Linked DNA regions of Oryzias latipes. The protein of the gene in region 1 binds, or shares a complex with, the protein of each later gene. Links are inferred from orthologs where the notes say so. Each region holds a gene or a part of one and is shown in the gene's direction. Other genes may lie near its edges. The genes, in order: bcas2, rbm22, cdc40 and ctnnbl1.

What was found.
Region 2: bcas2 (region 1) and rbm22 share a complex: the UniProt entries of both Homo sapiens proteins name them as parts of the postcatalytic spliceosome P complex. The link is inferred for Oryzias latipes from reciprocal best matches to the Homo sapiens genes BCAS2 and RBM22.
Region 3: bcas2 (region 1) and cdc40 share a complex: the UniProt entries of both Homo sapiens proteins name them as parts of the postcatalytic spliceosome P complex. The link is inferred for Oryzias latipes from reciprocal best matches to the Homo sapiens genes BCAS2 and CDC40.
Region 4: bcas2 (region 1) and ctnnbl1 share a complex: the UniProt entries of both Homo sapiens proteins name them as parts of the PRP19-CDC5L splicing complex. The link is inferred for Oryzias latipes from reciprocal best matches to the Homo sapiens genes BCAS2 and CTNNBL1.

Annotation. Positions count from the first base shown.
Region 1 is NC_019865.2:940,223-947,803, reverse strand, and holds bcas2 (pre-mRNA-splicing factor SPF27), read left to right. Parts: upstream 1-2,454; 5' UTR 2,455-2,558; coding exon 2,559-2,651; intron 2,652-3,047; coding exon 3,048-3,140; intron 3,141-3,229; coding exon 3,230-3,300; intron 3,301-3,401; coding exon 3,402-3,563; intron 3,564-3,641; coding exon 3,642-3,692; intron 3,693-3,772; coding exon 3,773-3,853; intron 3,854-3,926; coding exon 3,927-4,053; 3' UTR 4,054-4,366; downstream 4,367-7,581. UniProt on the Homo sapiens protein: Required for pre-mRNA splicing as component of the activated spliceosome. Component of the PRP19-CDC5L complex that forms an integral part of the spliceosome and is required for activating pre-mRNA splicing.
Region 2 is NC_019868.2:16,385,061-16,393,063, forward strand, and holds rbm22 (pre-mRNA-splicing factor RBM22), read left to right. Parts: upstream 1-3,088; 5' UTR 3,089-3,164; coding exon 3,165-3,218; intron 3,219-4,354; coding exon 4,355-4,408; intron 4,409-4,493; coding exon 4,494-4,523; intron 4,524-4,628; coding exon 4,629-4,761; intron 4,762-4,863; coding exon 4,864-4,964; intron 4,965-5,216; coding exon 5,217-5,389; intron 5,390-5,546; coding exon 5,547-5,747; intron 5,748-5,847; coding exon 5,848-6,012; intron 6,013-6,293; coding exon 6,294-6,376; intron 6,377-7,005; coding exon 7,006-7,134; intron 7,135-7,219; coding exon 7,220-7,377; 3' UTR 7,378-7,777; downstream 7,778-8,003. UniProt on the Homo sapiens protein: Required for pre-mRNA splicing as component of the activated spliceosome. Involved in the first step of pre-mRNA splicing.
Region 3 is NC_019882.2:8,076,379-8,084,415, forward strand, and holds the start of cdc40 (pre-mRNA-processing factor 17), read left to right. Parts: upstream 1-2,520; coding exon 2,521-2,712; intron 2,713-3,387; coding exon 3,388-3,474; intron 3,475-4,600; coding exon 4,601-4,730; intron 4,731-4,811; coding exon 4,812-4,898; intron 4,899-5,064; coding exon 5,065-5,204; intron 5,205-5,938; coding exon 5,939-6,035; intron 6,036-6,349; coding exon 6,350-6,489; intron 6,490-6,979; coding exon 6,980-7,054; intron 7,055-7,254; coding exon 7,255-7,300; intron 7,301-8,037. UniProt on the Homo sapiens protein: Required for pre-mRNA splicing as component of the activated spliceosome. Plays an important role in embryonic brain development; this function does not require proline isomerization.
Region 4 is NC_019865.2:1,919,692-1,927,215, reverse strand, and holds part of ctnnbl1 (beta-catenin-like protein 1), read left to right. Parts: coding exon 1-128; intron 129-1,199; coding exon 1,200-1,306; intron 1,307-1,398; coding exon 1,399-1,538; intron 1,539-1,818; coding exon 1,819-1,916; intron 1,917-5,298; coding exon 5,299-5,392; intron 5,393-7,524. UniProt on the Homo sapiens protein: Component of the PRP19-CDC5L complex that forms an integral part of the spliceosome and is required for activating pre-mRNA splicing.

The DNA of each region.
Region 1 (7,581 bases):
GTATTGGGTTGGAGGAGGCGGAGCTGGGACAACTGTAAGTCAAGCGTAAGTCCATCCTGAAAAAACATTAATATAAACTGTGTTCTTCTTCTGTGGTTTAACAAACACCAGAATATGATTTTATTTCTTTAAAATTTGGGAATTGTAAAGATTGCCCGACCCAGCTGGATGAGCAAAAGAAAATGGAGGGATGGGATAACAGGAGGAGGGATAGAAAGAAGTTTGATGTGATTCTCCCACAAGTCTCCCACAAATGGTAAATGGCATTTACCTGTATAGAGCTTTAGTACCTTCTTGTAAGGCCCAAAATGCTTAACAGTCACTGTCCCATTCACTCAACACATACACACACACACACACACAACGGCAGCTCCACATTTCAACAATTCAACACATTGTTGCACAGAGTGCGAACTGAACCTGCAATCTTCCAACCAGCAGTCGACTGTTCTACCTGCTTTTTTGCTTTAAAGCTCAAGAAAGACAACAAAGACATTATAAGAAAGCAGTACTGACTAAAAAGCATAGTGTGAGATTTTTATTCCACATTTCAGCATCATAGGGTCTTTGTGCTGTTGACTTAGAATGAAAAAAAGTAACAAGTTTTACTAGTAAACATTAGAAAGACATTTTTCCATAAAGGTCACTGGGGGATCTGCAGCCTCTTCCAGTCGTTATTAAATCTGTGACAAACTCTAATCAAGTTTTCCTTTTAGCCACGGAAAGCAGTGTATAAGAAACAAAACATGTGAAATCTAGACAACTTAATTAGATCATTTTCGTCTAAATTCAATTAAGAGGGAAATTAAATCATCCAAAAAACATGTTTTCTTTTTATACATTAATTCAATTAAAATAAAAAAATCACTTTTTGAATCAAATCTGCACATTTATTTTTTTCTGTTATTCTGTGGAGGAGCTTGGCCAGAAACTGATCCTGTTTTCCCAGATGTTAGGATTAATTTGGTTTTGCAACGTGTACACACGCAAAAAAACATACTATTAGGCCTGCACAATTAATCGCAAATTTATCGTTATCGCGATTTCAAGCTGTGCAATATCCATATCGCAAAAGTCAGCGAAAATCACAATAAATGGTAAACCTTAAATGTGCTAAAACAATCTTATGGTAACTTTAGCTATTTAATGAATTAACTAAATCCCTTTATGCATTTGACCAATCAGATATAGCCCTTTACGTTGTTGACCAATCGGATGGAGCTCTTACGTTAGATGTTGCCCTACTAATTAGACGAGGGTCATTTGGAAGATAAATTTAAGGTATTTTGACTCTTATTTATACTAAACATTTGAAGGGAAATGGAAATGTTTTTGTTGTTTTTGCTATTTGTTCATTTTTTGCAAGTTATATCTTCATCGCAATATTGATCACTAATATCGCATATAGCGAGTTTTCCTCATATTGTGCGGCCCTACATACTATAATGCATACACATACCAGTACTTCCCCTTTCTTGGCTATTTACTCTTGGTTATTATTTCTGTATTGTTAAGATGAAATGCCTTCAACGTAAACTTATAATTTTATATACATTATTTAAAAAAAAATATTGAAGTGATGATGAAGTATTTTTACAAGATTGATCACATTTGTATCAGAAGAAAAAGCTATTTATATATTTTTTTAGAACAACAACAAAAGAAAGATAAAAAAAGCATTTATTTGTTGAAATTTAATATGAAACTCTTTAAAGGTTTACTGTAGTGCAGTAATAGCTGAAACCTGAAGTTTGTTACACTACACATCTGCAAGAAGCTCCTGGGGATCTTCTATCAGTCTGTGGTCGCCAGTGTAATAACCTACGCTGTGGTGTGCTGGGGGGGGAGCACCTCAAAGACAGACTTCTCCAGGCTGGAGAAGCTGATCAGGCGGGCTGGTTCTGTGGTTGGCACAAGGCTGGACCGTCTGGCTACTGTGGCAGAGAGAAGGACACTGAAAAAACTGACAGGTATCCTGGACAATACCAGCCACCCTCTGCACATGACTATCGGTAGCCAGAGAAGCACCTTCAGCAAGAGGCTGCTCCTCCCAAGGTGCGGGACTAATAGACTGAGGAACTCCTTTGTCCCCCGGGCCATCAAACTCTTTACCACCCCCGGGCCATCAAACCACTTAGGAGGGGGGAGGGGGACAGAAAGGAAAGGGAAAGGGCCTGAATCACTTTTTTTTTTTTGTATATACTGTTTGCAGATATTTAAATTGTTTTTTACTGTTCTAATCTTCCTCATTTTTCTAGTCACTGTGCTGCTTTTTCCTTTTTCCTATATGTATGTCAACCAGTGCTGTATGCGATGGAGATGTCAATTTCCATGCGGGAACCTCCCAAATGGATAAATAAAGTTGTCTATCTATCTACTAAGCTGCAGTTCCATTCCTCAACGCAAGAGGCGACAATCACGATTAATACAACACCGTTGAGACTTTTATTTCGGAAAGTTTTGACCGGAAACGGAAGTTTCTGATTAGCCGTTTGGAGTCTGTTAGCAGAAAAGGACTTTCTTTCTTTATTTTTATTTTTTTTTACTGGGGAGCGAACATGGCTGGAACGGCCTCGGTCGCTGGCGAAGTGTTTGTTGATGCGTTGCCGTATTTTGATCAAGGTTATGACGCACCAGGTGTCAGAGAAGCGGTGGGTAAACAAGAATGCTGCTTTAAAAGCTAGCTAACTTATAGCTAGTTAGAACTGTTAGCTAGCGATGCCGCATGGTAACGCGCCGTTCAATGTATAGTTGGCCAAACCATTATTATTATGATCGCCTGTATATTTCTTTAGATCTTGTCATTATAGGTTTCTGCTTTGAAACTATACAAGTTCATAATTTAGGATGAAAACCTTCAAAGCCAAAGCTGCTGTTTACCTCATCGGGTAAAACAACAGCTGAGGGGTTTGAAACAGCCGGCAGATCTGGAGAACCAGGGTTTGGTGACACTAAGTTGACATGTTAGATCATCAGGGGTTGTGGCTCATTTTTAAATCATGTTTGTATGAAAAATGGAGAGAAATCATTTGTACTTGGCCCTTCAGGCCGCTGCGTTGGTGGAAGAAGAGACCAGAAGGTATCGCCCAACTAAGAACTACCTGAGCTACCTGCCCATGCCGGAGTTCTCGCCGTTTGAGGTGAAAACCTGCAGACATTTGAAACTTGATTCCTAGTCTGGGTTGGCTAACCGGTTTATAATCCTTTCCCGTTTTGTTTTGGGTTTCAGACAGAAATCATGAGGAATGAGTTTGAGCGATTAGCCGCTCGACAACCAATGGACCTCCTCAGCATGAAGAGGTAAAAAACACACTCTGTCTGTCTGTACAATATTTCTGTAAATGTAAAAGAAAGAGAAAGTTTAGGGTGATTCCATAGAACGATTCTATTCTGCTGTGGAGGTATGAGCTTCCAGCCCCCACATCGGGACAGAAGAACGACATTACCGCCTGGCAGGAGTGTGTCAATAACTCCATGGCCCAGCTGGAGCACCAGGCCATCCGGATCGAGAACCTGGAGCTCATGTCGCATTATGGAACAAACGCGTGGAAGGTCTACAACGAGTGAGTGGCGGCCTGTGGGTCTCACCCTTTGGTGTCTGACTCTTCTGAAGACTCAAAGCTAATGTTGTCCCTTTTCAGCAATCTGGCCTTCCTGATTGAGCTGGCTCAAAAGGAACTCCACAAGTTCAGGTGATTGAGGATTGGATCATACATGCCTGAAAAGATCCAACGGTTACCATGGTTACACATTTCTGAACTTATGCCGGCAGGAAGAAGATCCAGGACCTGAACTGGCAGCGCAAAAACGATCAGTTGGCTGCAGGCGCCAAGCTGCGAGAGCTGGAGTCCAAGTAGGTTCTTCTTAAGTTCTGGTGTTCTCGTGGATGAGGGGTGATGTCTGACTCTGGTTCTGATTCCCGCCAGCTGGGTGTCGCTGGTCAGTAAAAACTATGAGATCGAGCGCGCCATCGTCCAGCTGGAGAACGAGGTGGCTCAGCTGAGGCAGCAGCAAGGGGAGGAGAACAAGGAGAACATCCGACAGGACTTTTAGGAGTCACCTCACCGGGATCCGTTGGATGGATCTGATTCGGTTGGTTTGGACGACTCGATGACTGCTGGAGCGTAGCGGGTCACTCGACTCCAAGACGGATGATGTTTGAAAGGCGTCGGTTTCCTCTGATGGAACCGTTGGGTCTTTTGTGTTCAGTTACACACAAATCATGGTTTGAAACTCATGATCGATCGACATGATCGATGTCTTTGTAGCTTGTTGTACAGTTTCTAAGTTGTGGTGGAGAAAAAAAATCCTGTTTTTGATTCAACTTTTGTTTTTTATCGTTTTAATAAAATGAACGTTTCATACACATTGTTATTTTTTTCAGTCTTTTACCTGTAAGTCTCTGAGCTTCAGAGCTGCAGCTGATGAGCTGGAAGCTAACAGATGGGAGCAGCTGGATGGTTTGTCATTCATCCCTCTTGAAGAACAGTGAAACCTAAAGTCTGAGGCCTAGAGTGAGGCGGTTTTGTGTCAGATCCCCTGTCTTCTGTACATCCACTGAACTTTGATCTCAGAAATCTGCAGCATTTTGTGCTGATCCATTTTCAAAAGTCTCAGCGTCTTCCATGACTTCCTGGATGAGTCTTCATCTTTGTTGTTGGTCAGTGGCACAGAAAGGTCACAACACATTAACTCACAACACATTAACTTACCACACAACACATTAACTCACAACCCAAAAACTCACAAAACATTAACTCACAATGGAAGTAAAGCTGCAATGGAGGTGCTTTTATCCTGAAATTAATTAGTGTATATATATATATATATATATATACACATCAAGCTCAAGGCCCCAACTGACAGTGTCCTCAGTGAATGTCTCAGGCAATGGAGAACAGAGGATACAGTGCTGGAGGACAGATCCTCATGGGAGGACAAACCCCTGCATGGGATGTACCACCGGACCATAACTGAAGTGGCTGATATCAAGAAGTCCTACCAATGGCTAGAAAGGGCTGGCCTACAGGACAGCACTGAAGCACTCATCCTGGCAGCTCAGGAACAAGCCCTGAGCACCAGAGCCATAGAGGCTCAGATCTACCACACCAGACAAGACCCAAGGTGTAGATCTACCACACCAGACAAGACCCAAGGTGTAGATCTACCACACCAGACAAGACCCAAGGTGTAGATCTACCACACCAGACAAGACCCAAGGTGTAGATCTACCACACCAGACAAGACCCAAGGTGTAGATCTACCACACCAGACAAGACCCACGGTGTAGATCTACCACACCAGACAAGACCCAAGGTGTAGATCTCCCACACCAGACAAGACCCAAGGTGTAGATCTACCACACCAGACAAGACCCACGGTGTAGATCTACCACACCAGACAAGACCCAAGGTGTAGGCTGTGCAAAGAGGCGCCTGAAACAATCCAGCACATAACTGCAGGGTGTAAGATGCTGGCAGGTAAAGCATACATGGAGCGCCACAATCAAGTGGCTGGAATAATATACAGGAACATGTGTGCAGAATATGGACTGGAAACCCCAAGGTCAAAATGGGAAACACCTCCGAAGGTGGTAGAGAATGAGAGGGCAAAGATCCTGTGGGACTTCCAGATCCAGACTGATAGGATGGTAATGGGGAGCCAACCAGACATTGTAGTGGTGGACAAAGAACAGAGAATCACCTGAGGCCAACGCCGCCATCTCCTGAGTTGAAAATGGCTCACAAAAAGGCTCTGCTGGGTCATATTCAATCAGATAAGAAGTAATGAGATATGTTATGTGGATGTTGAGATAGCTTTATGTGGGGTGGATGGGACATTATTTTTATGTACATTTATGTCTGTGTGTGTGTGTGTGTGGGGGGGGGGGGGGGTTACATGGCCGCATACTCCTATGAAATTAGGTAGTTGCGCCCCTGTTGTGGGTTTATGTGTTGTATGGTAAGTTAATGTGTTGTGATGTAAGTTACTGTGTTGTGTTGTGAGTTAATGTGTTGTGTGGCTCAATTCAATTCAATTTTATTTCTATAGCCCAAATTCACAACAGTCGTCTCGATGGGCTTCGTGTCGGTAATTAAAAAAGTGAAACATAGAATCAAAAGGATCATGAAAACATAGAATTCAATAGGAAAATACTAAACTGACTAAACTAAACTGGTCATCTCTGCCCTTAGACCCCCCTTCTCTGTAAGGAAAAACTCCTAAAAAAACGGATTCCGGAAGAAAAGAAGAAACCTCAGGGGTGATGAAGGAGGGATCCTCCCCCAGGACGGACAGGTGATGGACCAGAACTTTTAGGCCGGCTGTACACTGCAGGTCTTGATGCCCATATCCGATTTTCTGACTATATCCGATTTTTTTGACGACCCGCTTACATCATCTTTTAAAAGTGACCCGTATCTGATTTTTGCATTTACACTACAATGCTGAAACTGTCACATGTAGACGTTCTGAGGACTACGTAGCAGCATTTCCGCCTTCCACGGTCATCCTTTGGACTTTTGTGACTGCGGTTGTCATGGAGGCAAGGCGGCGACGGAAGGAGGCGTTGCCTTGGGCGCTCCAGAGGGGGGGGGAAAGAAGGAGGGCTGGTCGGCCGTCTTATGTGCTCTCTCTGAGTTTTGAATGAGGAAGTGTTTGCAGACGTTGTGCTGTACTAACAGTTTGATCCAAGTGTTGAACCTTTCCTGAGCAATGACACACGGGAGATTTCCTCGGGGTTCTCTTTTCCGTTCTGAACCCTCTGCCTCCAGTGGGCTAAGAAAGACTCCAAAACTTTTGGGCGAGACACCTTATTTTTAATTTACGGTTCTCCGACAGTCCCCCGCTCCGCGCTCACACCCGCTCTCCTCTCCTTAAGTTACACGCACACACACGCAAGCACGCGCGCGCGCACACACACACACACTGTCCCCATCATACACGCCCCCCCAAAAAATAAACAGCTTCTAGCTTGTTCCATAGCAACGGTGTCCCGCTTGATTAGATACCGTTTGCGTCCCGACCGGGACCGGACCGGACATAACAGCGGTTTCCAACTACGGTCTGAAGCCTGAGGCTGAAAGGTAACACGCTGACAGCAAAATCAGCGCACAAAAAGCACCTTAACAAGTCATGTGATCTCAGTTGGTGGTATCCTGAATTGACATCACTGACGTACGACTCGCATTTACTGGGGAATATCCGATTTGTCTGCTTACATGGCACACGCAAATGCATGTATCCGATTCGTATCCGATTTATTTCCACATATGAGAGAGGCCTGTATCCGATCTGAGAAAAACGGAATCCATGCGCTTTTGTCCTGCTTACACGTTCACCGATCATATCCGATCTGTGCCACATGAGAGGAAAAAATCGGAATTGGGTCACTTGAACAATGCAGTGTGAAGGCGGCCTTAGAGAAGAATTAACTTATCTAAATCTACGACTACATATTTAAAGTCCAGCAGACGAGCTTCATCCAGCTGGAGTTGGGGGGACAGTCGGGGCGCGAGTCCAGCCGGAGACAGGAACCACAGCCAGGTGTAGGAGCAGGAGCAGAGACGAGGTACTCGGTCA
Region 2 (8,003 bases), on another chromosome or scaffold:
ATAATAAGCCAGTAAGGGATTACTGCAGGTCATAATAATCCGACGCGTCGTATCACAACACGGAGCCTGTTACCACAGCTGAGAGCCAAATCCCACTCAATCGTTTATAAAAGATTGTGTTGGGAGCCATTGCATTCCACTTCTAGTCTTTTGTCCGCCTCTTGTCATGTGTGGACTTGCAGAATGAAGTGAAAGACGAATCATCCTTTCATTTGGATTTGCACACACTCGTTGGCTTCTTTTTTTTTTTTAAATTAGACGCGCCGGGGGGGAAAGCAAGGATTATTTTATTGTTACCCCTGAGTTGTTTTGAGTCACTTACTTGAAACGAGCATATCCACGGCGTTAAACGCACCGCAGCGGCTACAAAGTTATCAAAACAAGTTGCTCGGTGGCCGCTGGTGCATTCACGGGATTCGATCGCGGTACTCCGCCGTGAAAATCTCGGTGCAAACCGGCTGCAGCTCTAGCTTCTGCCGGGCACTAAACTTCGAGCAGTGAACGCATCCTTTCATTTTTCGCGTCAGAGCCAGGCTAAATATGAACGCTGCCTCTGGGGCTTTTTGTTTTATCTTCAGTCGAGGGGAGTCAGGCATTGGCCTCAGCCTCGCGCGAGCCAGACAGCGAACACGAGCCCGGCCTGGGAGAGCGCGCGGCGGGGCTCCGCGGTACCAAACACAGGCGAAAAGCAGCGCCAGCACACTTGTTTTTGTGTCGACGTACTCACCTCGTTTTAGCAGATTTCGGACGCTCTCGAGCCGGCTGGAAGGAAAGCGGCGCTGGATTTCGAAGAGTGAACAGAAAAGGGTCTCGGCTCGCTGTTGTCCTTAATGTGGAAGCGGCACGGCCGACTCGGCTGGGAGAAAGCTGGAAATGTGAGGAAGCCCCTCTCCTTCTGCAGCGTTGTGCACCCAGCAGTGGCCCATAACTGTCAACAGGTGGCGCCAAAGCGACACTTTTTTTTCTTATGCGCATGCATGCATGTTGAAGTCCTCAATATTTCTTGGGCTTATCTGCATCCCTGCTCCACGGTGCTGGGATTAAAGGGACCTTGATCTTCTGTTCGCTAATACTCTTGAACCAATTTTCTTGTGAAGTGATGCTCAAATTATCTTAACAGATTTCTTTCAAAAATGTCATTGAAAAGTAGCTGTTTGATTTGCTTTTAACAATTTTTTTTGGGGGGGGGGGGGTATCGTGATTTATTTATAGATAAGAAATTACTTTACAGGCATACATTATGGCAAATGAAGCGTCACAAAATATGCCTCTGGTTACAGATGATCTTATAACAGAATATACAGTTCTTTTCGGGGGGTTTTAATCAAAAATATAAAGAAAGCTTGGAGTATAAAACTAATACAGACAAATTCAGAAACAGCCCCACTGTAGAGTTGAGGCATTAGCAACAAAGAACAGCAAAGACACCTACAAATCCACTGGCCTTGTGACTCATGAGGTTGGTCATTTTGATCTCTAATTAGCTAAATTTGAGACAAAGCTTTCCTTCAAAGCAGTTTGGCCATCTCAGTCTTTTCACATGATAGAAAGGACGGGGTCACATGACTCATTAAGATATGGAAGGTGATGCCCTGAGGGGGAGTTTCCTGTGGTGATCTTTTCAGGGATGTTCTTGACGGACTCTGCTGGCCAAGCAGAGAAAGAAAACAAAAGGTTAAAGCGGATGGAAATTTCCATTCAGCGCCTTACTGTGGAAGCACAAGCACATGGTATGCCCCTGATTTACAACCAAAAGTCCATGAACCTCTAAAAGCACATCCCAAAACGGAGGGTCAATATAGTTGTTTTTAACTTACATGTGGCCTGAAAGAGCTCTGCAGACCAGTTAAGTGGGCCTGCATCTAATCTCTGCTCTGTGAATCCACAATCTGACCTGTGAAGTTAAATAAACATTCAGGATTTAAAACCCACTCGTAATCTTCAGCATCCTTCGCCTCACTAATTGGAATTTCACACAACAAAGACACCATGGCCTGAATTGGACCAGGTAAACGGGTAAACTCTAACTGGACAATTGGCTTTCACAAGCTCCCATACACCTGCCAATCAGCCAGCCTGTCACTTCTTCCGTCTCTGGAAATGACACAAACTCAGGCGGCGCAAACTGTTGGGACTCACAGTTTTTCATAAACCTAAAACACTTTACATCACCTTTTTGCATTTATCATAGATTTATGATCAAATGAAAAATAAATAAATTAAAAAATATATTAGATTATTTAGCAATACATTAAATTAATCATGTGTTTATGAGGAAAACTACATGTGTTTAAACTTCTGATAAAACATACCATTTTTGTTGCATAGCTCCTCTACAGAAGTTAGATTTTTTTCCTTCAGACGGAGCAGGTCATGGACATGGATTAGGTCTAATCCGGAGTCCGTAATCAGGTTAACAAGTAACTAAAAAAAAAAAAACTATTAACCTTTAGTTCCAGAATAGAAATAAGTTCATGGTCTTTAAAAGCAATAGCATTAAATATTGTTCCTGAAATAATAAAAGCTTTTTTAGGATAACAACAACTGTTTTAACAAAGCATTCATTATGCTTTGCTGAAACATTTTCTACTTTTAGATAGATAGATAGATAGATAGATAGATAGATAGATAGATAGATAGATAGATAGATAGATAGATAGATAGATAGATAGATAGATAGATAGATAGATAGATAGATAGATAGATAGATAGATAGATAGATAGATAGATAGATAGATAGATAGATAGATAGATAGATAGATAGATAGATAGATAGATAGATAGATAAGTTAAGGTTAAGTTAATTAGTACTTACAACTGATTACTAAACTTTACTCACACAAATGTTAAGAGCGCAAGAATATTTTCGAAACAGAATGAACAAAATTTTGTGACGCTTGTAAAAACTTGTTATCCTATTTAAACAAAACTGTTGTTTTTTCGGGTGACATCAGATAGTTGAAAGTAAAGATCTTAAATTGTCAACACTGGCACACCATATTACTGTCAACACGTCAAACCAGTCCAACTCGATCCATTCCATTGAGGGTTTGATCACTAACAGTTTCTGGTGAAAGAGCGACACCCACAGGCAAGTCTAGGACCTGCAGCGCGGTGCATTGTGAGTTGTCGTTGTCGGCCCGGTTCTCCTCTCATTCAGCAAAATGGCGACTTCTCTTGGATCCAACACCTACAACCGACAAAACTGGGAAGACGCGGTATGTTGAATTGCTTTTATAGTTTAAGTCTAAATGTGTAAAGAGACCACACATCAATTTTATCACATTTCAAGAATACTATTACCCAAAAGCCTCTTTGATGTGTAACAAGGTAGCTTCCCGCTAAGTAGCATAGGCTAATGCTAATGCGGGAAGCATGGTAGCTAGCTACTGTTCTTCGTATCGTTACAGTAATTGTAAGTCTTTAAATCCCTTAATGGGTCAGGCAAACACAGATTGTGGATCGTTGGCAGCTAGTATCATCCATTTCCAAAAGTCCAAACAGATTTATCAACCTAAACGAGGCTCGGCATGTATGCTAATTTACGTTAGCTTTAGCTGCCTTACGATGCTGAAGTCATGTTGGTTGAAATGTCATATTTGTAAGACCGACTCAGCATAATGTCAGTCAAAAACAATTATTTTAGAAAAGTTTAAAGAATAAAGTATGTAGAATAATCAGAGTTTTAAACAATAGACCTGTTTGTTGATCTCAAACCATGATGTTGCAACCTCGTCATCACGAATATTAAGAATTCATGTATTTTTTTTCGCAATTGCTGTTACAGGTTTCCTGTTTGATTCCGTAACAGTACTTCTTCTCTTGTTTGAGAATAAAATATGAGCTAAAAGATGTCTAAGTAATTGATTCATACCTGACTGGCATTTTTAACGCAGTTAATGCGACACTTAACCAATCCGATGTAAACTGGGCAACTTAATTTAAGTTCCCACTGTGGTCCTAATGTAAATCAAGCAAATGTACAATTGTACCTTTAAATCTTAACACGACTATAAAAGATAAAAAGTGTTTGTGTCTTCCCTTAAAGCATAACACAACCAGACATTTGATTAGTTTTAGTTGAAGCTACAGTCTAAAAACTTTGTAACCCGAATATGTAAGTGATGTTTGAGCCCAATGATCTGCCCATGTTTGGGGTTTTTGGCTGATGCGGTCAGAAGGATGGAAACAGCATCCTTAACCAGATGGAAAAGTGGGTGATGCTGAAAGCTTTACTACCCTCACATGTACATTTGTCAAGCAGAGGCTGAAATGTAACGGTATCCCTTCAGCTTGAATACTAGTAAATGATTAGCTGAGAATTGTTGAATCCACGTTTTCTTGTCTGTTTCAGGATTTTCCGATTTTGTGTCAGACATGCTTGGGGGAGAATCCTTACATCCGTATGGTGAGTAAGTTTCCAGCTGAATTATTTGTAGGTCTTGTTTATGAATTCACATTAATCATATTAGTTGTTTTTTTTTTATATACAGACCAAAGAAAAATATGGAAAAGAATGCAAGGTATGGCTTTCTGTTAATTTTCCTTAGCCTTCAGAAGAATACACAGCTTAAACTTGAAATATTTTATCTTTAAACTGGATTTAAAGTTTTTCTTCTTTCCATTAGATCTGTTCTCGACCCTTCACTGTATTCAGATGGTGCCCGGGGACTCGAATGCGTTTCAAGAAGACAGAAGTCTGCCAGACTTGCAGTAAAATGAAAAATGTTTGTCAGACATGTCTGCTTGATCTAGAGTATGGTGAGTCTCGGGATCTTTCTACTTAAATTTGGATTTGTGTACCCCTTGTGCAGGTCTTATTTGTCAGTGTAACACTTTCTCTTGATGTGTTTTGATTGACAGGTCTGCCTATCCAGGTCCGTGACACAGGCCTCACAGTTAAAGATGAGATTCCTCGCTCGGACGTGAATAAAGAGTATTACACACAGAATATGGAAAGAGAGGTAGATTTCCTTTATGTAATGACTTTTCTCTTCAGTAGCATTGCTTGTTATGACGTATATTATTTTAGGTTGCAGTCATTTCCTTTACTTCCAAATTGTTTTCATATTGAAAAATGCAACACAACTTCCAAAGGTTTCCCAGTTCCTTTGCAGCTCTCAGGAGTCTGTAAATATCACTGCACCGAGAACAGCTTGGAGCATTTTGATCAGAACTGCACATTTATTGTCATTAACGACTCGTCGCATTCACAGATGGCTAATTCCGACGGCACACGGCCTGTAGGCCAACTCGGCAAGGCTACGAGCTCAAGTGATATGTTGCTCAAGCTGGCCAGGACCACGCCATATTACAAGAGGAACCGGCCGCACATCTGCTCCTTTTGGGTGAAGGGAGAGTGTAAGAGAGGCGAAGAATGTCCCTACAGGTGAGGACTAATAGCATCTGTAACCAAAAGACAAAGGTGCTGCTGTTTGGTAGATCTGAAACTGTAATCCATAGTTTTATTTGGTTTAAAAGATAAAAAATATATACCAGCATGTTGTGTGTCTTTGGGTTTTATTCCTGTGTTTGCTGCATTTCAGGCACGAAAAGCCCACCGATCCCGATGATCCTCTGGCTGACCAAAACATCAAGGACCGTTACTATGGCATCAATGACCCGGTCGCTGACAAGCTGCTAAAGCGAGCCTCAACCATGCCCCGACTAGACCCACCAGAGGATAAGTCCATCACCACTCTCTACATAGGCGGTTTGGGAGACAATGTCACGGATGGAGATCTCAAGTAAGGTTTTTTTTTTTTTTTTTTCTGTCTTTGTCACAACAAGAAGTGACAATTTTGATGCCTTTATACTGTGCTTGAATTTCTATGTGTACTCTTGCAGGGGTCACTTCTACCAGTTTGGTGAAATCCGAACCATCACTGTAGTCCAAAGGCAGCAGTGCGCCTTCATCCAGTTTGCCACGCGCCAGGCAGCTGAAATGGCCGCAGAAAAGTCCTTCAACAAACTCATCCTTAACGGACGGAGGCTCACTGTCAAGTGGGGGAGGTACGATGACTCTTGGTTACTGAGGAGGCCGTGCTGTCATTTGCTTGTTAAACGCCAGATGTTCTTAAAAGAGCAAGAGCCTTTCAAACTGCCTTGAGGTGAAGCCACCATCGATGTTACAAGTGTTGGGAAACGGCTGAGTGTGGCGTTTAAAAAGTGGTTATTAGAAACACAGCAGGAGCTTAATTGTAGCACACAGGTTCTTCCCATCTGGGAGATATTCTGTCACCTTTTTTTTTGTCTTTCAAGTCAATCAAAATTCAAACCTGTTTGTCTTTTAGGTCTCAAGCAGCGAGAGGAAAAGATGGTGTCAAAGATGATGAGCTTGGCATCAGACTGGATCCTGTACCTGGACTTCCTGGAGGTAAGTCTTCTCTCACAGGGGGGGTCAGTATTTTATGTGTGCGCACATGCAGTTCAAGTCAGGGGTGTTGGCGCCCCTTTAGGAGGTCAAATCATTTTCCCATAAACATAACCACTTGCTAAAAAAACGATGTCTCTAAGAGCCACTTATTTGGATTTGTAAGATGCTGAGATCCACACGTTACATTTTAGTTTGGGATCTGAGGGTTTTTATGAGAAACTAAACGGTCATCTTACATTTTACTACACTGTTTTTTAAAATAAAGCACATTTGGTTATTTTTTGTTTTCATCAAACAGCAGTTTTCTAAGCGTGTTCCTTCTTCGACACACTTTGATGAAAATGGTGTTTTTAACATTTATCATGTTCATTATTTGGATGATGGAGGACATATTTGAAGAAAATTAAACTCAAAACTGCATTTCTGAGTATTGTTTGTATTCAAATTCGTTGATGATCAGTAGCAGATGAAAAAATGCTGTTGGGGTAAAAATATGTATCTGCGGGGTAGAAAATCCGCTGGGCGGGCAAAAGGCTTCCTGCTCCGAGTCTCAGCCACAAGAATTCAGAATCTGGATTAAGATGCAGCAAGAACATCTTTTTACCGCCTTTAATTCTTCTCTTTGCCAGCGCTGCCTCCACCTCCAGCTTTAGATGAAGAGGGTCATGCCAACTATTTTAACCTGGATCCCAGCTCCGCTCCTGCTGTCATGAACATAGGTTTGCCTCCACCTCCAGGTATCAACCCACCTCCTCCAGGTAAAAACATGGCTTAGACTTACTTCTAAGTGATGCAGAAAGAAAAATGGAAATGGATACTAAAAACCTTCTTTTGCCCACGCAGCTTTTGGTCCTCCAATGTACCACCCTATGGGTCCCATGGCTCCACCTGTGCCCCCTGCTATAACGATGAGACCTCCGGGTGCAATCCACTACCCCTCCCAGGATCCTCAGCGCATGGGTGCTCACGGCGCTCACGGCTCCCGTCACATCACCGAGTGAAGTCCTGCAGTAAACGTTTGTCTCGGTTTCCTCACCATGAACCTGGTCAAGTGTTTTCATGTGACAGCCCCAAACCTGAAGACTTCACATGGATCAGTCCTTCCTTCTGTACACAGCCCCACATGACATCCAATGAATTCATTACCTCAGTATGTCTCAAGAGGAAAAAAGTGGAATAGTACTCCATCACTGTGTAGCTTCTTGCAGTTCTAAATGAACACAAAAGACTTCCAACATGAGTGCTGGCCATGATTACTGTTGTAAAGTTCTTAGGGGTGGACCTGTTCTTGTCTTATTTTGCATAGTGTCACATAGAGCTCGATATGGAGGATTAATTCTAAATCTGTCTCTTTTCTGATTTCTTTTTTTTAAAATAAATTTGATGCAATATTCCACTGCATAATGACTTGGGTTTTTTTTCCTGAGCTCATCATCAAATTGACTCAGCTTTCATCTGTTTGCACCATTTGGTGGATTTGGAAGTCTGGTAAATGAAAATATATTAAACTAGAGTGTAAATTAATAGACAAAGAGACTGCATATTAGTATTGCATGTAAAATGTACTTTAGGAAATACTAGGAATATTCTATTGGAAGTATTTATCCACAAAAAGAAACTCCATCTT
Region 3 (8,037 bases), on another chromosome or scaffold:
CACATTTAAGAAAAAAAATCTATGAATGGGATCCATAAGAAATGCCACATATGACATAATACAATGCAGAGATCTTCAAACTGTCGTGTAAAGCTGTGTAAAAACATTGTTCCTCGGCCATTGGTGTTGCACCAAGGTTTCAAATTTCACAAACCATAATTTTCACCACAATCTACCATCCCCCGCCCCCCCACGACAGTGTACAAACCGAGCTGCCTGGACTGGAACAGTCCCCAGCCCCCAAGTCAGTGCGCTCTAGGAGGGGGGGGGGGGGGGGGGGTCATTACCACACTGTACTAAACTGAAACTCTGATATCCCTTTCCCCGTGAACACACCACAGATGGGGGGAATAAAGGATCATTTATGGGGCTTTGCAAATATTTGCTTCCCCCCCCCCCCCCCCCCCCTCGAATGATATCCTCAGACTCTGCAGCAGGAGCCCTTGCAGATGTGGAGTTATCCCATCAAAAAAGTGCCCTTTTACTGGTAAATACGCATGATCACGCGTGTACTTTTTAAGAATAATCCACATCTGACCACTCTGCATTACAGTCACCTGTGTGCTGAGTTGACGTGAGTCAGTGATGGCCAGGCAGTGTTGAATTACCGTTATTGCCAAGAAGACAGCCCCGGTTTACGCTCTACAACATGGTGACTGACTCTGCTTCTAACTTGCTGGAATTAAATACATTTTAAGTCCGTTTGTCAGTTAAAAAAAAGAAAGAAAAAAAATGAAGTCACAATAAAGCCACGATGCTACCTCAAAATGATCCTTAAAATCCCGCTGATTTTCTTCCCATCTTCACCAAGAAGCAAAGCGTGCCGCCGTGTCCAAGAATTTAAATCCCCGTGTTACATCCATGGTTGTGCCGTCTCTCATATCCAATGCTCTCCTGCTGGAAGAGGCGGCGGCGAAGAAGGATCCAGCTGCATTTTTTAAGGGATTTTCCGGCTGGAATTCGGCGCAACTACAGGGAAATCGTGCTAATCTAAAACAGCGTCAGGTTTTATAACATCAAAACATTACCTTAATTTAAAAACTTTTAGTTTTTGTTGTTTATTCGAGGTTACGACCGTGATGTGGCATTCATTGAGGAGAAAACGCCCCCGTTTCGGTCTTGTAATGGTATGAGCCACTCCATTGTTGAGGAGTGAGAAACCGTCTGTAACTGGGAGTGCGCCAGAAAAGTTGTTAAAAACAGAAACCTAAAAAATAAAATATAGATTTTAAAAATAGTTATAATGTTGTGCATATTTGAAATAAATTCTTAGAATGTGTTTTGTTCATAAAAGTATAAATTAAAAACTATATGCTTAATAAAACAAATGGGGACTATTTAGTTACATTCCACTTAGCAGTGATTACACAGAATATACATTATCCACATTTCTTTAGAATTGGTTGAAAACATTATTATAATATATTCTTATCATATGCCAATGTTTTCTGACTTTATGTTGTATTTTCTTCACTTTTTTAGGGAAATTGTTGCATAACTCTGTGTTACAGACTCATACATGCCAAAAAAAAGTAGTAGTTGCAAACTGTGTTATAATACAACAGATAGGCAATATTGCTCAAGTATAAATGTGTCATTCTTAATTATGCAAATTACACATTTCAATGGATTCATGGCGTGCTTTTATTTTTGCAGGCTTGCTGCTGACTGCAGTGTTTTGTAGGCGCTGTAAGAACCAGAACCCTTGGATCTATTCTGATCCTATTTAACTTGTACAGAAGAGGCTTGGGACCATGGACAGACAGAGAGAGAGAAAAAGGGCAAAGAAAATCTCGACTTTAATCTCAGAATTTTGACTTTTTTCTCAGAATCCTGACTTTTTTTCTTCTCAGAATTCTGACTTTAATCTCAGAAAGATTAACTACGGACGCCTGTGAGCTATTTCCTACAGTTACCTTTAGCAACACTTGAGTCATAAACGCTGGAGTGTAACTAATGCCCTGTTTCAGTTTCTTGTTGAAGGCCTAAAGTTTAGTTTAAAAAAAAAAGCAATTGTCATTTGTTAAGTTAATGGTTCTTTTGAGGAGAAAAAAAACTCCTAAAACACACACAAAAAAGAAGAACAAAATAGTCAATGAAATTGATCAGAACACATGGCTAAAAATTGTGTTTAGTGCATTGGGGAAAAAAAGCTTAAAGTTGCAATGAGAAAGGAAAACAGTACATTTTGTTAGTTTTTCATGATCTCACTGTTGTGGAAAAAATACATTTTGGTCAGCTGTAAGACCCATTGCTTAATATTTTTTAATTAAAAAAATAGCATGTCTATAAACATGTTTATGTGCTACGTCACATTATGCATGTTATAAATAGATAAATAAATAAAATATATTAGTCTTACAAGCATGGTACCCGCATTATAATTGGTAAACACTCATAACTTTAAAATTGTCCTAATTTTTGATATAACGAGTTTTTACATTTTTTTAAATGAAAGTTGAATAATTTTGTAACCGGTAGTCCCGCCCTCGGATTTCCGGTAAATTCACAACATTCAAAATGTCTGCCGCCATATCTTCCCTCGCTTCGTACGGTAGCGATTCTGACTCAGAAAACGAGTCAGAATCAAATACTAGTACAGAACAAGCTGACCCGATGGACTCGGATGCAATGGTTCACCTTAAACCGTTGCAATCTGGTAGCATAATGTCTTTGGCAGTTCTCAATTCTGCCCCGGAGGTGGCTGTTAAGGTAAGCTAAGGCATCTAAGCTAACTCACGTTAGCATAAAATGTAAAGTTTGATGACTGCTCCTCGACGACAGTTTTTTACATGTTGATAAATGTTGGGTAAAAGTCGCGAAATCTATAGTCAGGGTTTTAAATGTGTATAAGAATTCATACAAGTCAACTTATGAACACAAATCAAGTATAGACCACAAATATGAGCTAAGGCAGCAATTACACAAGTGTACATGATGATACATTAAAGATGTATTTACTGGCCTCTTACTAATGCTTTTTATTAAGTAATAATTTATTGGTTAAAGTTTTTGATATTTGCGTCTCAAGCGTACGTAAATTGAAGTTAATCTTACTTTATTGCTTTTAACGTTGAAATCTCCCTATGTTTTCATATAGCTATTAGTGTCTTAATTGAAAATAATAGGTTAATAGTATGTAGAGATGTCTTTATTTTTAACTGACAGTGTTCTCCAAGTTAGTTACAAACTAATACATAACTGATATTTTTAAATGTTTCAGAACTGTATGTAATGACCTGACATCTGTACTACTCAATAGTTTTTTTTAAACACTTGTGAAAATGGAGTGTAATGTAAGATGACAATATTTGGCAAAGTATTTCACATGTCCCTTGATAATTTTGTTAGTAATGACTGATAATCATTTGTTTGCGTTGATGGTAGGAGTCTGTTGAGACTGGTACACACCTGGATCCCACTTTGAAAGAAGTCAGTTATAACCCGACATATGAAACTCTGTTTGCTCCTGAGGTAAGTTTGTAGTCATTCCACAAAGGCAAATTCAGAATAATGTTACCAACGAATGTTTCTTTATTTAATCAGTCAAATTCTAACAAATGTGACTTGTATTGGGGAGAAAAAAAAGGAAAACTTCTCAATTCAGTCAGTATGCAGCAGAAAAAATCACCAGCTTTACAATTTACGATTTGATGCTCAGTCATTGTTTTCCTACCGATAGTTTTGTCATTTGTCATTACTGTTATCATAACATATATTTATAATAATCAAGCCCAGTTTTTGACAATAAAACCAAGCTTCCTGGTTTCACTGAGGTGATTTATTATGGATGCAGCCTATTATATATATATATATATTTTTAAATTCTATGAGATTGAATTCTAAAAACCTTGATTTAAAGGCTTCTTTTTCGACACTACTTCCCTCACTTATTTGAAAAATCCTGGAAAAAGAATTAATTTCCACATAATTACATATTCAACACTAGATTATTATTGAAAAATATGTGGTTATGTTACTTTTGGGGAAAAGATAAATTCACAATTTTCTATCCCAGTTGAATTTTCTTTTGTTTTTCATATTCCTCTAGGTATATGTGTTTTCTAACAGATTAAAAATAGAAACAAATTTGTCAGAATCGATAAAGATGAAAAGACATTTTAAAGTTGTGAGAGTGTTTGACTAAGACGTTTTTTTTTTTATCTTAAAGGTTTATAGTTAAAAGTTAATAACAACAGGATTATGCAGTATTTCTGACAAAAATGATGGTAAATACTTGTTAAATAAATAAATACATTCCAGTCAAAATAGTAAAGGCTGGATTTACTAAATTAAATAGTAGTTTTACTTTATGGAACTACAGATGGGCTCTTCTCCTGCTTCACACAAACCAAAATTTCATTAATAAAAATGTATGTTGTTTATGTAATCAAAACATACAACTATTGGCTATTTTTATTTCTTTTGGATGAAAAAAATCTGGGTATGTTAGATGTCATGATTTGTTTTTTTATTTCCAACCATCTACAGATGAATTTTCAAAGCGGAAAAACTTTTACGTGAATACAGAGTGACACATGAATTAACAAAGGACTGTGGGTCAAACACAACTGTGTTAATTAGTCTTGTTTGTTCCTAGTTTGGACCAAAGAACCCTTTTCAGACGCAGCAGATGTCCGCCCCCAGGAACATGTTATCTGGATATGCAGAACCAGCTCACGTCAACGACTTTATGTTTGAACAACAAAGAAGGACGTTCTCTACTTATGGTAGGGTTGACTTTAGGGTGGATGAATTCTTTCAAAGTTCACACTTTGAAGACCACAAACCCATATTTTATCTGTTGATAGGTTATGCTTTAGACCCTTCTGTTGACGCTCAGCAAATAACCACCACTAGCTACATCGGAGCGGTGGATGAGGCTGAGAAAAATAAAGGTATTTGTTGAAAGTTATTTCTCATTGCATCATTAAACCATAATCCTGTGAGCCCTGACCACCTGTTTACAGGTAGAGGAGACAGACGAGCTCATGGCTTAATGTCTGTCATAAAAATATTGGAAGATGTCATTGATTTGCTTCTTTGTGTTCACTGGAATTCCAGGACTGACCGTTTTTGAAAGCGGTCAGAAGAAGACAGAGAAAAGGAAGAAGGTTAAGGGGGGAGAGGCTGCAGATATTGATCATTTCCTTGGGCCGTGGGCCAAATATGAAGATGAGAAAAATGTGGCCAAACCAACAGAGGTGATGTTTTCTCTATTACAATGTACACTGTGACTCATATTTAACAAAAATTTAAGGACCGTTGAGAACAGCGAAGTCAGCCATTGATAAACAGATATAAGATGCTACAGATATTACAAGCTTTTATGTTTGTTTTTTTAAATTAATACTTGCCACATCGCACATACTTTGGGAGAGCTGTGTTTTAAAATTAAATGTACCCATTAGAAAATATTGATTCATTCATTAAATTCCCTTTTTTGCCATTTCTTGTAGTTTTAAGGCTAACAGTGGGTTTATAAGTTCTTTTAAGTAAATATTTAATTTTTTTAACTTTTGTTCAAATTAAATAATTAATTTATGGGGAAAAATCCTTAAAATAAAAAATAAAAATGAGTATTAGGTTGGATCCGATAAAGAACAGTTTAGCGAAAAAAGTTAGATGGTGTTTAACTGATCTGATATTTTACTGTCAAAGCAAGAATATATTTATAGTTCTTTGGCGCTTAAAAAAGAATCCGCAAAAAAATTCATTTAAAAAAGTGTTTATGGAATTTTTCTGTATGGTAGAGACATACCTTGAATCCAATGTTACCTAATGTCTTACTCTATGAAGCCACAACCCTCTTTAAAGTATTCTTTACACAAAAACACATGTTTGAGATGAGCTGCCACCTGTTGGCCTGTTCAGTCTTTGGATTGTTTGAAGGTTATGGTGTCTTGAGATTTTTCTAATGATGTATTTTCTTGTGCAGGAAGAAAAGAAGGATCTGGAGGAATACCTAGCTAAGAGGCAGAAGAGAGGAAAGAGGGAGGAAGAGTCTCCGGCAGAAGAGAAGACCATTCTTCATGGTATTTGGTTTTTTGATAGGAGTCTATAATATTTGTTGATTATAATTACGTTTTTTATATTTTAATGTTTAGAGTAACAAAGTCTTTAGCGAATTCTAATTCAAGTGTATCACAAAAAGATGGAATAATGCTTTTCTACTATCATTTTTCAGTAAAAAATCTGCTACTATGAGAAATTTTTACATCTTCTTAAAATTATTAAATTTCATTTGAACTATGAATGTTAAGCAAAGCTCTATGCTATACTGGATTGAAAAGTATTCATGTTTCAAGATCATTTCAAACACTTTTCCCCCCATTTGTTCTTCTCACAGTCAAAGACATGTACGACTACCAGGGCAGGTCTTACCTCCACGTTCCGCAGGACGTCGGCGTCAACCTGCGTTCGCCTGATGCTCCAGACAAGTGTTACCTGCCGAAGAAACAGATTCATGTGTGGTCTGGACACACCAAGGCGAGTGGAGCGGCCGTTAATGATGCTCACGCTAAAATTTTTTTTACTCTGATATTTTAAACTTTTTTTAAATTGGTGGACTTTCTATAGCAAGCAACAGTCCTCAGAATCTGATTTGTCATACAAATAGGTTTTAGAAAACCGTCTTTCCTATAAATGCCGATGTCCAGAAAAATTCCTCAAAGCCTCTTATGTAGTGAAAGTAACAGAACTATTAAGGAAAACAACTTTTTCTGTAAAAGTTCTTCAACAGCAACACCCTATTCTGATCTGAATGTCAAATTAATATCTCTTTTGGGTGAGGACATCAAAAGTTGGTGTTCAGCTTATAAGTAGGCTTTTAGAGTAGAAAAGAAAATTAAAGTTAAAATAGTTTGACGCATTTAGAAATATTTCAATAGCAATAGAAAGATTTTGATAATATTAGGGACAATAAGATCATGTTTAGATTCAAACAATGTTAAATATTGTTTTTGTTTTTTTCTCCCAGGGTGTCAGCGCGATCCGGTTATTCCCCAACTCCGGTCATTTGCTGCTGTCCTGCTCTATGGACTGTAAGATCAAGGTACATAAATATGTTTGGCTTCAGTATATGCTTTTTATTGGTGTGATATTTATTAAAAACATATCATTCACTTTTAAATTCTGTCAAGAATCGTCAATTTTGTTAGCTTCCCATAAAAATCTGAACATTGTTTCGATACAACCAGCTTTAAACCCCCTTTTGTTGTAAATGTGTGTCTAATTTGTCACATTTTTCCACAGTTGTGGGAGGTTTACGGTGAGAGGAGGTGTCTCAGGACATTTATTGGTAAGTGTTATTGGATTTATTTTTGGTGTCTCTTTCTGTTCTAAATTTTCTGAATAAGCTGTTCATGTTTTGGAGTCCAATTAACCCCTTTCTCCACCAGATCCCCAAAATAAAGCAATGTTTGTAGCATGAAACATTTTATGATGAGATCTTTTCTCATTCAGAAATGATGCAATCTAGTGGGGGTATATTATTTTATCATCTTCATTCTCCTTTTGTTCGTTTCTGGATGTTCCAGAAACATTTTTAGAGAGTGAAAGTTGTGATTATACAGCCTGTTTTTTAGGTGTCTGCTTGCAAAAATATACCAAGAATTATTATTGATCATTTAAAATAGTTTGATGTGAAATACCTTGTTGGATGAATGTTTTTGGCTCTTAGCTTAAACTGAGCCCAAACGACTGCCATGGAAACAAATAAGAGATATTTATATATTTATGTTGATAGTTTTGTCTCCATAAAGACACAAATTTCACAATAAAAAAGTGTAATTTGGTGTTTTAAGGTGTCAATTGTGAATAAATAAAATGATGAAAAAGGTACCTATTTATTATAACTAGTATTAATGGTTGACCACAGCGCCTGGAATCATTAAGTATTTTGTTATCTAACTGTAAGATAAGCATCAAAGAAAGCATCATCAGCAAAGATGTTGACTCCGGCTATGTTTGAGGTCTAAACTGGAATAAGCCCTTCAGTGACTGACTGTGTTTTCAGCGTTGCAGGAGCATTGATGT
Region 4 (7,524 bases), about 980 kb from region 1:
CGGCCAGACATCGGGAAGCTGGAGCGGGATCAGAGGGTCGTGCTGAACCGGGGGACGGCGAAGAGCAGACCGGGGACAAGAAGAGGATACTGGAAAAACTGATGGACCAGGATGAAGAAGAACCCGAGGTGGGAAAGCTGTTTTTATTTACTGGTCGTTTTTTTTCTTTCTTCCAAAAGGCTGTGTCTGTAGTTCAGACTTCTTCCTTTTTTTATCACAGAGACCATTTGATTCCTCTTTAGGTGGAAAAATGCTGTTTTGTTTGTAATTTAAAGCGAGTTATGCAGAGCTGCCTCTTTAGAGAGTGCAGGAATGATGCAGAAGTGATGAACATTTGCAATACGGCATACATTTGGAGGAGCTTAATGCTTTTGGTTCTTTTGCACTACTGTCTAAGCATAGATGAATAGTTGTGTCGTTGCCACGACTACTCAACTTCTGCTAACAACCACATGGTAAGAATTGGACAAAATGAGGGAAGGAAGTGACTGAGAAGAACTAATAAGTGTTAGAAGGTTCTTTCTCCTTATTTAAATGTTCATTGTGTCCATTTTTCAAGGTGCGAGGTGAAAACAATTATCAAAAACAAAAACGCATGTGTGCGAATGTAACCATCCTTTTGGTATTGATAACAGATAAAAATGAAGAGAGACCACGGTGATGAGTAAATGTTGGTAAACGTACCTGTTTTTTTTTTTTTTTTTTGTGGCATTAAAAGCCAGAAGGCGAAGCTCTTAAGTTAGGCCACGGTGGAAAATGCAGCTGCGTCAGAATTTCCAAAGGAGTAACACTAGAACCAGTGTTACCATATTGCAGTGCATTTGAAGACTGCACATTGATAATTCAGTTCATATTATCCCCACACTGCAGGCATTTTCAAAAATTTACTCTGTCAAGGGCCTCTCAGAGCTAATGGCTCCTCTTCTCCATAATGTCAGGCAGTTGAAATGTCCTAACCGGTCATTATCCGTCTAGCACTTTACAGCTTTTAAGCCTTCAGGAGGTCAAACGCATCCCCTTTTTCTGTAAAATGTACCCTAATTGATGCAAAAAAATGACTCCACTCACACGTTTAATGTCGCAGTGATGGCTCTTTGCTCCGGCAGCAGCTGCTTCGACCTAAAAAGCTTTTGCCCCCTTTTTCCTCCTCTATTTTCTTCACCACTGCCATGTCCTCTGATGTTCCACGGATCAAACAGGCCGAGCCGGTGGATGAAAGCACAGTGAAGAAAATGATCCTGACCTTTGAGAAAAGGTCATACAAAAACCAGGAACTGAGGATCAAGTTTCCTGACAATCCTGAGAAGTAAACATGCTTTTCCTTTATTATTTTTTACATCAAAGATTTTGTTTAAATGTTCTTTTTTTGGAAAACTATTAACTTTGTTTCCGAACCAGGTTCATGGAGTCGGAGCTGGATCTCAACGACATCATCCAGGAAATGCACGTGATCGCCACCATGCCGGATCTCTACCACCTGCTGGTGGAGCTCAATGCCGTCCACTCCCTGTTGGGCCTTCTAAGCCATGAAAACACAGATATCCTTCACATGGATTTTGACCTGCAAACTGGTTTATCTGGGGGCTGGAGCTCTATATAAAACATAATGCATCAGCGATTTTGGATTTGTTAGCTCTGATTAGAAAAACTCTAGAAAACCTGTTGTAGCAGTTAATAATATCTATCTTTAAGATAACATGAAAGCAACCAAACTAAGACTTTTGGGCTCACCCACATGTGTTATTATTGATATGATTTAGTTGTCTGTTTGGGGCGGGGCTGTTGTCGGTCAGTTTTATTGTCCTCAACCCAAAGCACATGTCGCCATCGCGGTGGTGGACCTGCTGCAGGAGCTGACAGACATCGACACACTCCATGAGAGCGAGGAGGGCGCTGAAGTGCTCATAGATGCTCTGGTGAGTTTAAAGTTTCTCTCAGTCTGTGCTGGTATTGATGCAGCAACGCTGGCTCAATCAATATTTAAGTTACTCGGCTTTTGCATCCAACTCAGGCCGAGGAGAATTGATTACTTGGTCTTATTTTTAATGAATCAGTAGCAGGATTTCACTTTCGCCTTGCTGACATTTGGAGTTTTTGAGGAGTCTCCGTTTGCTTCTTAGACGTCTTGTGAGGCGGATTTCTGTCTGCAGATTTTCAGGTTTTAGAAGATCAAACTATAATAAGATAGAAAAAAAGTGTCTTAGTGGCAAAAAGGAGAGCTTTGCCCATTCATTTATTCATTCATTCATTCATTTGTGTTTTATTGTTTCACTTAATCTCTCATTTTTTCATAATTTAATCCTTCCTTCCTTCCCTCCTTTCTTTTTTCTTTCTTCCATCCTTTTTTCTTTTTTCCTTCCTTCCTTAATTCTTTACTTACGTCCTTCCATTCATCCATTCTTCCTTCATTCTTTTCTTCCTTCTCTCACTCACTTGCTCATTTATGACGAACTAACTGCAAATATACAGGAAGCTTAACATTTAAATCCTATTCATTACTTGTGCTGTCATTTCTCTAGATCAGTGTTTTTCCACCTTTTTTGAGCCACGGCACACTTTAACCTTGTCAAAAATCCCGCGGCACACCAGCATCCAAAAAAAAAGAAGGAGAAACTCATAGACTGTATTGATCTACAGTCCCTCTGCAATCTCACGTGCATTTTTATGATAATTGTGGCAGAAAAAGCTGGAAACTGCAGCTGTTTTTTCTAAAAGATGTAAAAAAAGTTAAGTTAGAAGATTTAAAAACTGTTTGATGTCTGTTCGTTGTTGTTTTAAGACGTTTAAGAGGAAAAACTCATTGTACGCTGAGACGCTGTCACTTTAACCCAATGCATCATGGGAGATGTAGTGGCAGACAGAGCAGCATCTCTGAGCTTCATTGTTTTGTTCACTTGTTCCACGGTCTGATACCGGATCCTGCGGAAAGCTACAGCGCTAAAGACGAGCTTTAGCTGGTGTTTTTGTTGGAACTGAGAGCAGTAATGGAACAAGGAAGTGAAGACTTTAACCACTTCTGATTGGTCAGACTGATGACATGTGATTAAGACTCCAAGAATGATTGGTGGAGACAGTTGAAGGGGCGGGACTTTTCAGAAAACAGCTGAAGCTGCGGCTAAATCGCGGTGCCGTCATTCTTATCAAAATGTCTTTAATAGAATCAAATAAACACAAAGAAAAAAGTCTTTTATAATCTTTCATATTCCTAACTACTCAGTGTTTTATCAGGGCCTGTTTGGATGAACACAGAGCTGATATCCTGGAGATGGAAAATGTTTTTAGATCAGTGAATGTAGGGTTGGGCGATGTCCCTTAAATTGGCCGTTGACGATGTTTGCTGTCAACCATCGGGATGGACGATGACATCGTCGGGGGGGGGGGGGGGGTATTTTTACATTTTTCGTTCTTATATAACTGCTGTTCGTTTTTTTGCTTTTTTCATTTTATTTCCCAACTAATGACTAATCCGCGATGATCCAGTATAAACTGAGGGAAGTGACTTAAACAAAAAAATTAACAAACAAAATAGAAAAGAAGTAGTCCGCTCCCGCACTTCCGGGGGAGCGCGGACTTACAGCTTTGTGTTTGATGGGAAGGGGGGTACATGAGCGGTATGTGTGGGAGATTTAAGACTGCGATCCGTCCCGCAGCTCTAGGGGTACAAGCATCCGAACTCAGAACCGGGTCTAAAAGTGTGTGTCTGTGCACAGCTCGGACCGTCTGCACACACAGCGGTTTGAGCTTCAAAGCAGAAATGTCGCTCAGTCCTTAGAAAACATTCAAACAATCACGCGGATTTGTGTTTCCAGTCGTGTCCCGACTAAATAAAGGCTGATTTTATTCTTACACGTTTACGTGCAGCCAGCAAGCAGCACCACCCAAAGCTAATGTTGTTAGCCCGTGTTAGCATACTGCTAATCCTGGCTTCGTTCAGAAAAAGCACTGACCACACGGATTAAAATTCAAATGATGAGCGAACAGGTGTTTGATAATAACCGTAACATTATTAAAAGCACGTTTAGAAGATCATCTCGTATTTTACCGAGCTGACATGTCAATGTATATAGCCGCTCGGCGCTGTTTAACAATGTTTTGTATTGAATTGTTACATTCAATAAAGTTTAAAAAAAAAAAAGGCGCTCGGCGGAATTTATATCCTTCCGTTTTTCAAACCCTACTGCGCATGTGCGAATGATTTATTCCGACGGAAAGTGTGACCTTAGTGAACGTTTTTATATTCTGAAAACATTTTTCTGGGCCCATGTACACGGTTGGATTCTAATCTGACCATTGATCCCATCAAGATATTTTGTACATGTAACCGCGGCTTATGGTGTCGACGCGCAACGTGGCGGGGGCGTGGCATCACGATGGTGGTCTCTCCATCGGGATGTCAGTCACCCATCACGATGGACGATGATATCGTCCATCGGCACAATCCTAAGTGAATGAGGGCAATTTCCCACGACACACTGGTTGAAAAACACTGATCTAACCTCTTTAATGGTTAAATACAGCCTCATTCAGTACACCAATGGTAGCACCTCTGCACTATTTGGGCCACCAGGGGCAGCAGACGTTCAATATCTTACTCTTTTTTTTTTTTTTTTTAAACATGTGGGCGTGCAGAGTCTAACCCGCCAACTTCCAATTAGAGGACAACCGCTCCACCCTTCTGTCACAGCCGCCACAACATATGTTTGGTACACTGAAATAAAATAAGTGAAGGTCATTTGTTTTGGAGTTGAACGGCCACAGAAACCATCATTCCTCACATGGAGAAAGTGTTTCAGGGCGGCCGGCTTCATCTGTCTTTACCTTGCGCCCAAACGTCTGCTGCTCTTCTGTCCTTGCTGCCAGAAGGCCAGGTGCTGTCCCTGATAAGATAAATCAGAACGATTCACACGACTGAGTGTTCATCTCCTTTCATCTGTCGTAGCGCTTTCCTGCAGGTCCTCAGCGGAGAAGCCCACTTCTACGTTGGGTTTGTGTCTGGACTAGTGATGCTCGGTTCCTGTTAGATCTCCTCTCAAAGTTTCAGACTTTGGAGTGATCCGTCATCGCTGCTCCCTTTAGATTTTCAAGTTTTTGAATCAGATTTGCCACCAAATGAAATAATTTTGGGAGACTTTCAGCAAAAATATGATGTTTGATGAAGAAAAGAGAGAAACTGAATTCTAAAAAATTGTTCCTGATGGCATTCTCTATCGGAACTTCCAAACTGTGATCACATTATGAGATGACCTCAACCATTTGAACCAATTTCTGAAAGCCAGCATTCTGACTCTGTCTTTGCAGTTGGAGGGTCAGGTGGTGGCTCTGCTGGTGCAGAATATGGAGCGACTGGATGAGCAGGTGAAGGAGGAGTCTGATGGCATCTACAACACTCTAGGTGAGAACAACAGTCTTTTTTAGAAATGCCTACAATTATGCGGAGGTAATTTTCTTTATGTCAAATTCTATATCTATATATATTTCTTTCTTTCTGACCAACACTGTAACGGTTTCCCCTCTCTTACTTTTATCTATTCTTGCATAATGTAATTTGACTAAAGATTATGTCATTCAGATCAGCTGTTGTTGACGTTTGACAGTCATATGTGTGCCTTTTCTCTGGAGGCTCCATTTTTCTTTCCAACACATGTTCGTTCTGGTTTTAGATGCGTGTACTTTGACTTTCTCTCTTCCTGTTTATTTCATCGTCATCTGATTGGATCTGGACCAAATCCATGACTGGATCTTGACTTTTTGTGTGTACGCTGTACCACGAGTACGACTTGTTTCAGATTAGAACAATGCTGAACATTATCTTCATGAAAACTGCTGCGCTGGCTAACAAGTTCTGCTCATTATTTTAAATTCAAACATGAAAACAAACATCTGCGAGAAATCTAGGACATTCACTGCAGTAGAATCTCCTGTTCCTTTCTGCACCACAGATAAAAATAGGATCGTTGTTAAAAATTCAGAGCTTTAGAAATTAATAACTCTGGCCACCTTATTAAAGTAAAATGATGACGGATTCAAAAACAAGATGGGATGGATGGATAATGGATGAATACATGGAAGAAATGGTGGATGGATGAAAAAATGGATGAGAATAGATAAACCAGTAAATGAATGAATAGATGGACAAATTGATGATCAGTGGATGATGGATGGACACGGTGAGAAAAAAAGGATTTGATCTGGTTTGCCCACTAATAAAGACATAATAAATCTATACTTTTAATGGTAGATGTATTCTAACATGGAGAGGAAGAATATCAGAACGAAAATCCAGAAAATAACTTGAAAGAGTTTATTTGTATTTCCTACGTTAGTTGCAGTCAACCACAAGGTTAGCACACATATCAGGGGGAATTTTGGCCCCACCCTTCTTTGGAGACCCTCTCTATCATTACGTTTGGTGGGCTGCCGCTCGGCAACTCAGATCTTCAGCCCTCTCCATAGATTTTCAATTGGATTGAGGTTAGGTTACTGGCTGGGCCACTCATGACCTCAATATGGTTCCTGTTGAGCCACTCCTTTGTTGCCTTTGCTGGATGCTGGTATGTTGTTGGTCATTGTCTTGTTGAAAGACCCAGCCATGGCCCATTTTCAGCTTTCTGAAGGTTGTCTCTCAGGACTGTACATGGCTCCATCTGTCTTCCCACTGATGCGGTGTAGCATCGCCTGAAACATGATGTTTCACACCTCCATGTTTGACGGTGGGCATCGTGTTCCTGGGATCATGGGCAGCACTTTTCTTCCTTCGCACATGACGAATAGAGTTTAGGCCAAATAGTTTGATTTTGGTCTGGTTTGACCACAGAATCTTCTCCCAATCACTGTGTGCATCTTTGAGGTGATCATTGGCATTCTTCAGGCGAGCTTCCACATGTTGCATCTGAAGCAGGGGTACCTATGGGGCACTGCAGGGTTTTAGTGTTGCCAATTGTTTTCATGGTGGCTGTGGTCCCAGCTGCCTTGAGGTCATTCACTAACTCCCGCTGTGTGGTTGCAGGCTGATTTCTCACTGTTGTCATGATCATAGCCACCCCACGCGGTGAAATCCTCTGTGGAGCACCAGACCGAGGTCTATTGATGGTCATGTTATACCTCTTAAATTTTCTCACAATTGCACCAATGGTTGTTACTAGAGATGGCCCGTTTTACACGGCGCTTTGGCGCACGGTTCACCTTCATGAGGTGGTTCGGCACAATGTTTCGAGGCGTGTGTCAACTAGCGCAGATCACGTGGTGGATGACGCGCCAAATGCTTCGTTTGGTCAAACCACGCTTCAGATGTCACTTATGTTTTGAACAGTTGGGCGCGCTATTCTCTAGAAATGTGAAATGAATCCCGAACGTTTCCCGACCAGTTCCATTGTTTCCCCTTTATTGGAATCAGTGTCAGTTCATTGCACTTAATCATGGCTCCTATTAAAAACGTTCTGTGGCTCAGGATCATTTCAACTCGGTTTTTCCTAATAAAACACTACATTATGAACGTTGTGCATCAAAAAAAAACAAAGAAAAAAA